Linked DNA regions of Anolis sagrei. The protein of the gene in region 1 binds, or shares a complex with, the protein of each later gene. Links are inferred from orthologs where the notes say so. Each region holds a gene or a part of one and is shown on either strand. Other genes may lie near its edges.

Evidence for each region. The genes of interacting proteins can lie anywhere in the genome.
Region 2: the proteins of SMAD7 (region 1) and SMURF2 are in contact, whole or in part, in an NMR structure (PDB 2LTZ), measured with the Homo sapiens proteins. The link is inferred for Anolis sagrei from reciprocal best matches to the Homo sapiens genes SMAD7 and SMURF2. Residues at the interface, in NP_005895.1 of Homo sapiens: Glu203, Leu204, Glu205, Ser206, Pro207, Pro208, Pro209, Tyr211, Ser212, Arg213, Tyr214, Pro215, Met216, Asp217; in NP_073576.1 of Homo sapiens: Glu304, Arg306, Asn307, Thr308, Ala309, Thr310, Arg312, Tyr314, Val316, Asp317, His318, Arg321, Thr322, Thr323, Gln324, Phe325, Thr326.

Annotation. Positions count from the first base shown.
Region 1 is NC_090022.1:288,283,688-288,287,434, forward strand, and holds the start of SMAD7 (mothers against decapentaplegic homolog 7), read left to right. Parts: upstream 1-1,173; 5' UTR 1,174-2,480; coding exon 2,481-3,093; intron 3,094-3,747. UniProt on the Homo sapiens protein: Antagonist of signaling by TGF-beta (transforming growth factor) type 1 receptor superfamily members; has been shown to inhibit TGF-beta (Transforming growth factor) and activin signaling by associating with their receptors thus preventing SMAD2 access.
Region 2 is NC_090022.1:179,910,041-179,913,787, reverse strand, and holds the start of SMURF2 (E3 ubiquitin-protein ligase SMURF2), read left to right. Parts: upstream 1-772; 5' UTR 773-808; coding exon 809-1,287; intron 1,288-3,747. UniProt on the Homo sapiens protein: E3 ubiquitin-protein ligase which accepts ubiquitin from an E2 ubiquitin-conjugating enzyme in the form of a thioester and then directly transfers the ubiquitin to targeted substrates.

The DNA of each region.
Region 1 (3,747 bases):
TTTTTACATTACAATTCAGAACAGTAGCAAAATTGCAGTTATGAAGTAGCAATGAGAATAATTTTCTGGTTGGGGGTCACCACAACATGAGGAACTGCATTAAGGGGTCACTGCATGAGAAAGGTTGAGAGTCCTGAGTCTGGTGAGCTTTGAAGAGCATCACCAACCCACTTCCTCGGATGTCCTGAACCTTGCTTCTATGATTGTTGATGTTCTTTCCCTCGAGATTTCCCTTTCAACCCTGCGAGCTTCCTTCCTTCCTTCCCTTCCCTTGGACTTCAGGAATTAAAAAGGAGGAGAGAAAAAAATAGCTTCCAGCCACCCGATGCCGCCTTTGCGCAATACAATCGCTGGGTGTTTTTTTCCCCCTCCTTCCCTTCTTTGCTTCTTTTTTTTTTTAAATCAAAAAGCGACAGGGTGTCTAGACGCCCACGTGATAAGAGAGGACGGGGAGAGGCGGCGAGGAGGAGGAGGAGGAGAGGATTGGAGAGGAGGAGGAGGAGGAGGAAGAGAGTGGCCCACTGCGCAGTCGGAAAGCTACCCAAAGCCAGGCGGGAGAAGGAGGAGGGGAAAGAGAGGAGGAAGAGGAAGAGAGGAGGGAGAAGAGGGGACTGGGTTGTGGGGAGGGGGCAGAAGGGACCCCAGCCCACATTAGCCCCCCTTCCCCTGTCGCCTTGGCACGAAAAAACCAGAGCCAACGCAGAGCATATCGAGCGCGCACAATCCGTGCGTAAAAGGGACTGGCGCACAAGCCGGGAGGGGGGGCACCCCTTTCCCGCCTCTCCCCCTCTTTGTAAGAACCCAAATCCAACATTGTATGGCGACCACTCCATTCTGAAAAGGCTCTTCTTTCTATCCGTGCCCGCATAAGCCTCCCAAGCGAGGTCGGCTCGAAAAAAGGAAGGGAGGAAAAGGCTGGAGAGGGAAGCGAGGCCAGGGCGCACGGCGCGCCTCCTTCTGTTGGCTTCCACTCCTTGCGCTTGAAGAAGGAGGTAGAAAGGGAGCGGAAAAAGGGCAGGAGGGAGGGAAAGGAGAGAGAGAGAGGAAGCCCGGGCCGAAGGAGAGCTCTGGGTCTCCCCCTTCTCCTCCCCCCTCCCTCCCTGTTGTGCGCGTATGTGTGTGTGTGTCTGTGCGTCGTCTCTGTGTGTGTCGACAGAGGCGCTGCTCCGGCTGGAAGGAAGGAGGGCGCAGACAGCCGTCAGAGGAAGGAGAAGGAGGCGCGGAGGGAACCGCATTGGAGAGAGAGAGAGACGCAGACACACACACACAACACACACACACAGACAGAGACAGACAGGAGGCTTGGCTGGCGACACTCTGCCCCCGCCTGTCATTCCTCGGTCCTTCCCTCCTCGCCGACTTCTTGGGCACCGCGGCGTTTCCTCTCTCTCTCTCTTCTTCGTCTTTCCTTTCCCCCTTTTCCTTTCCTTTCCTTTCCTCCCCTTCCCCCTCCAAAAAAGAGGAGATTGTGGGGGAGAACTTGGCACCGAGGAAACCTCGCTCTTGTGCCGAGGAAAGGAAGGAAGGAAGGCAAGCCTTTCCAAGAAGAAGGGGGCTGCTGGCTTTGCACGGAAAGGCGATGCTCCAGCTTTGGAGGAGGAGGAGGAGAAGCCCCCCAGTGTAGAAAAGCCCCCCTCCTCCTCTCCCTCCTCACCAAAGCCAGGCACGGATTTCTTTTTGGTCTGGATGAGAAGAAACCTCGCGATTGTGGCAGTGGATTGGTCTTAAAGACTCGCTACAAATATATATCTATTTTGCCTCGCCCTCCTTTGAGCAGGACCACATCTAGAGATTCCTTGGGAAGGATTGTGCATTGATTGAGGATCCTCCGGAGCAGCAGCGTGTGCCTTGCTGGAGAGAGGGAGACTTTCTTCTCCTCCTTTCCTGTGTTTCTTTCGCAGCCCCTTCTTTTCCTTCAGGGGCGGGGGAGGAGGAGGAGGAGGAGGAGGAGGGAACTAAGCCACGCAACTCCTCCATCCTCACTCACTTCAGAAGACGACTTGGCTCTAGGCTTGGGAGAAGAAGAGGAAGGAGAAGGAGAAGCACCCTTGGAAATACACCTTTCTTTTCTTCCTTTTCCTTCCATCCATCCGGATTGTGTTTCTTTGGAGGAGAAGCGAGCGAGGGCATGGTGTCTATCTCTTGGCTCTGACTCGGTGTGTTGTGTTGCTCTTTGAGGAGGGAAGGGAAGGCGAAAGGAAGGCCTCCCCACGAACTCCCTCGCGCTCTCTTTCTCTCCTTCCGTGGATGTAAAGGCGGCGGATTCCTTTCCGAGGCCGAGGCGGAGAGGGGCCTTTCGTGGGTCTCCCTCCCTTGTTTTTCCCCTCCCTCCTTCCCCCGTTTCTCGGCTCTCCCTCCGCGGCCCCATCATCATTTCAGGCTGCTGGCCCTGGCTGCCTGGACTCGGGCCCCGGATCCTTCATGAGTTGCGGACGGCATGCCCGCTGCTTAGCCGGGGAGCGCCCTTCTTCTCGTCCCGCATGTTCAGGACCAAACGCTCGGTGCTCGTTCGGAGACTCTGGCGGAGCCGTGCCCCGGGAGCAGCGGCGGCGGCGGCCTCAGCAGCGGCGGGAGCTGGGGGAACCGGCCACGGAGGAGGAGGAACCGGCGGAGGCAGCTCCAGCGGCGGAGGAGGCGACGAGGAAGGCGGCGGGGAGCTGGGCGAGGGCGCGCTGGATCCCCGGGCGCATGGCGGCGGCGGAGGAGGAGGGAGCCGGGTTTGCTGCCTGGGCAAAGGCGGCGGCAAGGCCCCCAAGGGCCCCCACGCGGGCGGCTCGGAGGCGGAGCTGAAGGCGCTGACCCACGCCGTGCTCAAGCGGCTGAAGGAGAAGCAGCTGGAGGCGCTGCTCCAGGCCGTGGAGTCCCGCGGCGCCACCCGCACCGCCTGCCTCCTCCTGCCCGGCAAGGGCGACGCCAAGCTGGGGCCCCACTGGTACTCCCTCCCGCTCCTCCTCGGAAAGGTCTTCCGATGGCCAGACCTCCGGCCCGGCGCCGAGCTCAAGCGCCTCCCCGCCTGCGAGTCCTACGGGAAGGCGCCCGGGCCCGAGCCCCTCTGCTGCAACCCCTTCCACCTCAGCAGGCTCTGCGAACTCGGTAGGTAGCCGGGATTGGAGGGGGGCTTGGGCAGGGGGGCGCCACTTTCGCAACCGCTTCCCCCACTCTTCCCCTCCATCTCTCTCCACTTCTTCCCCTCTTTCTTCCAGTATTTCTTTCTCAGTTTCTTCCTTCATTTCTTTATCAATTTCTTCCTCCATTGGAAGGGTATTGGAGGGGGAAAGGGGGGAGGGGGCGCCCCTTCCTCCACTGCTTCCCCCACCCTTCCTCTACTTCTTCCCCTGCTTCCCTTTCAATTTTCCCCTCTATTATCCTCTTCATTTGTTCCTTCATTTCTTTATCAATTTCCTCCATTGGAAGGGAATTGGAGGGGGAAAGGGGGGTAGGGGGCGCCCCTTCCTCCACTGTTTCCTCCACTGTTTCCTCCACTCTTCTTCTACTTCTTCCCTTGCTTCTTTCTCCATTTTTCTCTCTATTATCCTCTCCATTTCTTCCTTCATTTCTTTATCCACTTCTTTCCCCATTGGAAGGGGATCGGAGGGGGGATTGTGGAAGGGAGTGCCCCTTCCTCAACTGCTTCCCCCACTCTTCCCCTGTTTCTTCCTCTGCTTATTTCTCCATTTCTTCCTTTATTTCTCTCTCCATATTTTTCTCCATTTCTTTATCCACTTCTTCCCCCATTGGAAGGGGATT
Region 2 (3,747 bases), about 110 Mb from region 1:
AGGGGCCTGTCTAAGATCTTTGGGAGGGTGTTCCAGAGTCGGGGGGCCACCACAGAAAAGGCCCTGTCTTGAGTCCCCACCAAGCACGCTTGCGACGCAGGCGGAATCACGAGCAGGGCCTCTCTGGATGAGCGAAGTGAACGTGTGGGTTCATAGACGGAGATGCGGTCACGCAGGTAGGCTGGTCCCAAACCGTTTAGGGCTTTGAAGGTAAGCACTTGCACCTTAAATTGGGCTCGGAAGATAAATGGTAGCCAGTGGAGCTCCTTGAACAGGAGGGTTGACCTCTCTCTGTATGGAGCCCTGGTTAACATCCTGGCTGCTGCCCGTTGGACCAGTTGGAATTTCCGAGCCGTTTTCAAGGGCAGCCCCACGTAGAGCGCATTGCAGTAATCTAATCTAGAGGTGACCAAGGCATGGACCACCCCGGCCAGATCCCAGACACAGCCCTATATCCCAGAATATTAAAGCAGAAAACCCCTTATTATTTGAGTGTGGACTTAGATAACCCAGGCCCCTTCCACACAGCCCTGTATACCAGAATATTAAGGCAGAAAACCCCACAATATCTGCTTTGAACAGGGTTATCTGAGGGCCTTTCCACAGAGCTGAATAAAATCCCACATTTTCTACTTTGAATTGGAATATATGGCAGTGTGGACTCAAAATAACCCAGTTCAAAACAGATCCTGTGGGATTTTCTCCCTTGATATTGTGGGATATAGGACTGTGTGGATACTGTGGGCCTTGATATCATGAAATATAAGGCTGTGTGGAAGGGCCCACAGAAAAGGCAGCTCAGGACCCAATGGCAGTTCAAGCAGGGCCAAACTGCGTTAAGAATCCAGTGCAGCCTCCCAGCAGCCAGGAGGAGGCGGGGCAGGCGGTTTTACAGCGGAGACCCCCTTTGTGTGGAGGAGGGACAGCCCTCTGGCTTCCCTTCCCCGCCTTTGTTGCCCGACAAGAGGGCGGGAAGGAAGGAAAGGAAGGCAGGCAGGAAGAAAGGAAGGAAGGCGGCCTCCTCTCCTCTCCCTCCTCCTCCTCTTCTGAGGCGAGCCCTGCTCATGGCGACACTGGGCACATCCGGGCATTTCTCCCTTCGGCGGCGATTGCCGCTGCCGCCGCTGTTCCTGCTTGCTGCTGCTGCTGCTGCTGCTTCTTCCCTGAGCCGCCTCCATTAGCAGGCCTGCCTTCCCTCCTCCGCCTTCTCCTGCCTTCCTCGGGGGGAGGGGGTCATGTCCAACCCCGGGGCCCGGAGGAACGGGCCCGTCAAGCTGCGACTGACAGGTGAGAGACAGGCAGAGAAAGGGAGGGAGGAAGGGGCGCGGGGGGGGGGGGGAGAAACAGCCTTGTGCTCCTGTTCAGGCGTTACTTCAGGAAACACGGGGCCTTCCAAAGGAGAGAAGAAGGCTCACAGCGTTGGGGGGCTGGGGAAATAAAGCGGGGAAGGGGAGTGGGGGGAAGGGGAACACACACACACACACACACACACACAAGGCTTCCATGGCTTTGAGGTTGAACCTGCAGTCTCCCTCAGAAAGCCTCAAGGGAAGGCCTCAGGAGGCAGCAAGCCACTCTGGAGGCCCTTCCCCACACAGCTGAGTACAACCCCACATTATCTGCTTTGCATTGGAATATATGGCACTGTGGACTCTGGGCCCTTCCTCACAGCCATATAACCCAGAATATCAGGGCAGAAAATCCCACAGTATCTACTTTGAACTGGATTATGTGGAATATATGGCAGTGTGGACTCAGGGCCCTTCCACACACACTGCAAGATATCCCAATTCAAAGCAGATAATGTAGGGTTTTATTCCGCTGTGTGGAAGAGCCCACAGATAATCCCACAATATCTGCTTTGAACTGGAATATATGACAGTGTGGACTCTGGGTCCTTTCCCACAGCTGAATATACAATCCCACAATATCTGCTTTGAACTGGAATATATGGCAGTATGGACTCTGGGCCCTTCAACACAACTGAGTACAATTCCACAATATCTGCTTTGAACTGGAATATATGGCAGTGTGGACTCTGGGCCCTTCCACACAGACCTATAACCCACAAAATCAAGGTAGAAAACCACACAGTATCTACTTTGAACTGGGTTATCTGAGTCCACATATATCCCAGTTCAAAGCAAAAAATGTGATATTCTCTTCAGCTCTCAGGCCCCCTTCCACACAGCCATATAACTCAGAATATCAAGGCAGAAAATCCCACAATACCTGCTTTGAACTGGGTTATCTGAGGGCCCTTCCTTACAGCTGTATAAAATCCTACGTTATCAGAATTATATGGCAGTGTGGACTCTGGGCCCTTCCACAGAATCATAGAATCATAGAATCAAAGAGTTGGAAGAGACCTCATGGGCCATCCAGTCCAACCCCCTGCCAAGAAGCAGGAATATTGCATTCAAATCACCCCCGACAGATGGCCATCCAGCCTCTGCTTAAAAGCTTCCAAAGAAGGAGCCTCCACCACACTCCGGGGCAGAGAGTTCCACTGCTGAATGGCTCTCACAGTCAGAAAGTTCTTCCTAATGTTCAGATGGAATCTCCTCTCTTGTAGTTTGAAGCCATTGTTCCGCGCCCTAGTCTCCAAGGAAGCAGAAAACAAGCTTGCTCCCTCCTCCCTGTGGCTTCCTCTCACATATTTATACATGGCTATCATATCTCCTCTCAGCCTTCTCTTCTTCAGGCTAAACATGCCCAGTTCCCTAAGCCGCTCCTCATAGGGCTTGTTCTCCAGACCCTTGAGCTGAATATAATCCCACAATATCTGCTTTGAACTAGAATATATGGTAATGTGGACTCAGGGCCCTTTCCCACAGCTGATTATACAGCCCCACATTATTTACTTTGAACTGGAATATATGGCAGTGTGGACTCTGGGCCCTTCCACACAGCCATATAACCCACAATATCAAGGCATAAAATCCCATATCTGCTTTGAACTGGGCTATCTGAGGACCTTTCCTTACAGCTGTATAAAATCATACATTATCTGGATTATATGGTAGTGTGGACTCAGGGCCCTTCCACATAGCCATATAACTCATAATATCAAGGCACAATAACTCACAATATCTGCTTTGAACTGGAACATCTGAGTCCACACTGCTATATAATCCAATTCAATATGGGATTTTATACAGCTGTGTGGAAGGGGCCCCAGTTCAAAGCAGATACTGTGGAATTTTCTGCCTTGATATTCTGGATTATATGGCTGTGTAAAAGAACCCCTGATTTCATTTCCTCTCTATACAGCATAGGATTCTAAAGTATGGTCAATTTTAAAAGGAACCGGAAAGGAGGGATTCAAAACTGAAACCTCTTCGCAACTCTTTAAGGGCCCTTCTACACTGTCATATAGTCCAGATTATCAAAGCAGATAATCCATGCTATCTCCTTTGAACTGGATTATGAGTCTACACTGCCATTTAATCCAGTTCGAAGTTGATAATCTGGATTTTATATGACCGTGTAGAAAGGGTCTTAGTACACCCCATCTACACTGCAATATAATGCAGTTTGAACTGCATTATATGGTTAGTGTAGTCTCAGGTCCCTTCTACGCGGCCATATTACCCAGAATATCAAATCAGATAATCCACTTTATCTCCTTTGAACTGGATTATATGAGTCTACACTGTGAGATAATCAAATTCAAAGCAGATAATCTGGATTTTATATGGCAGTGTAGAAGAGGCCTCATATAATGTAGATTGAACTGCATTGAAC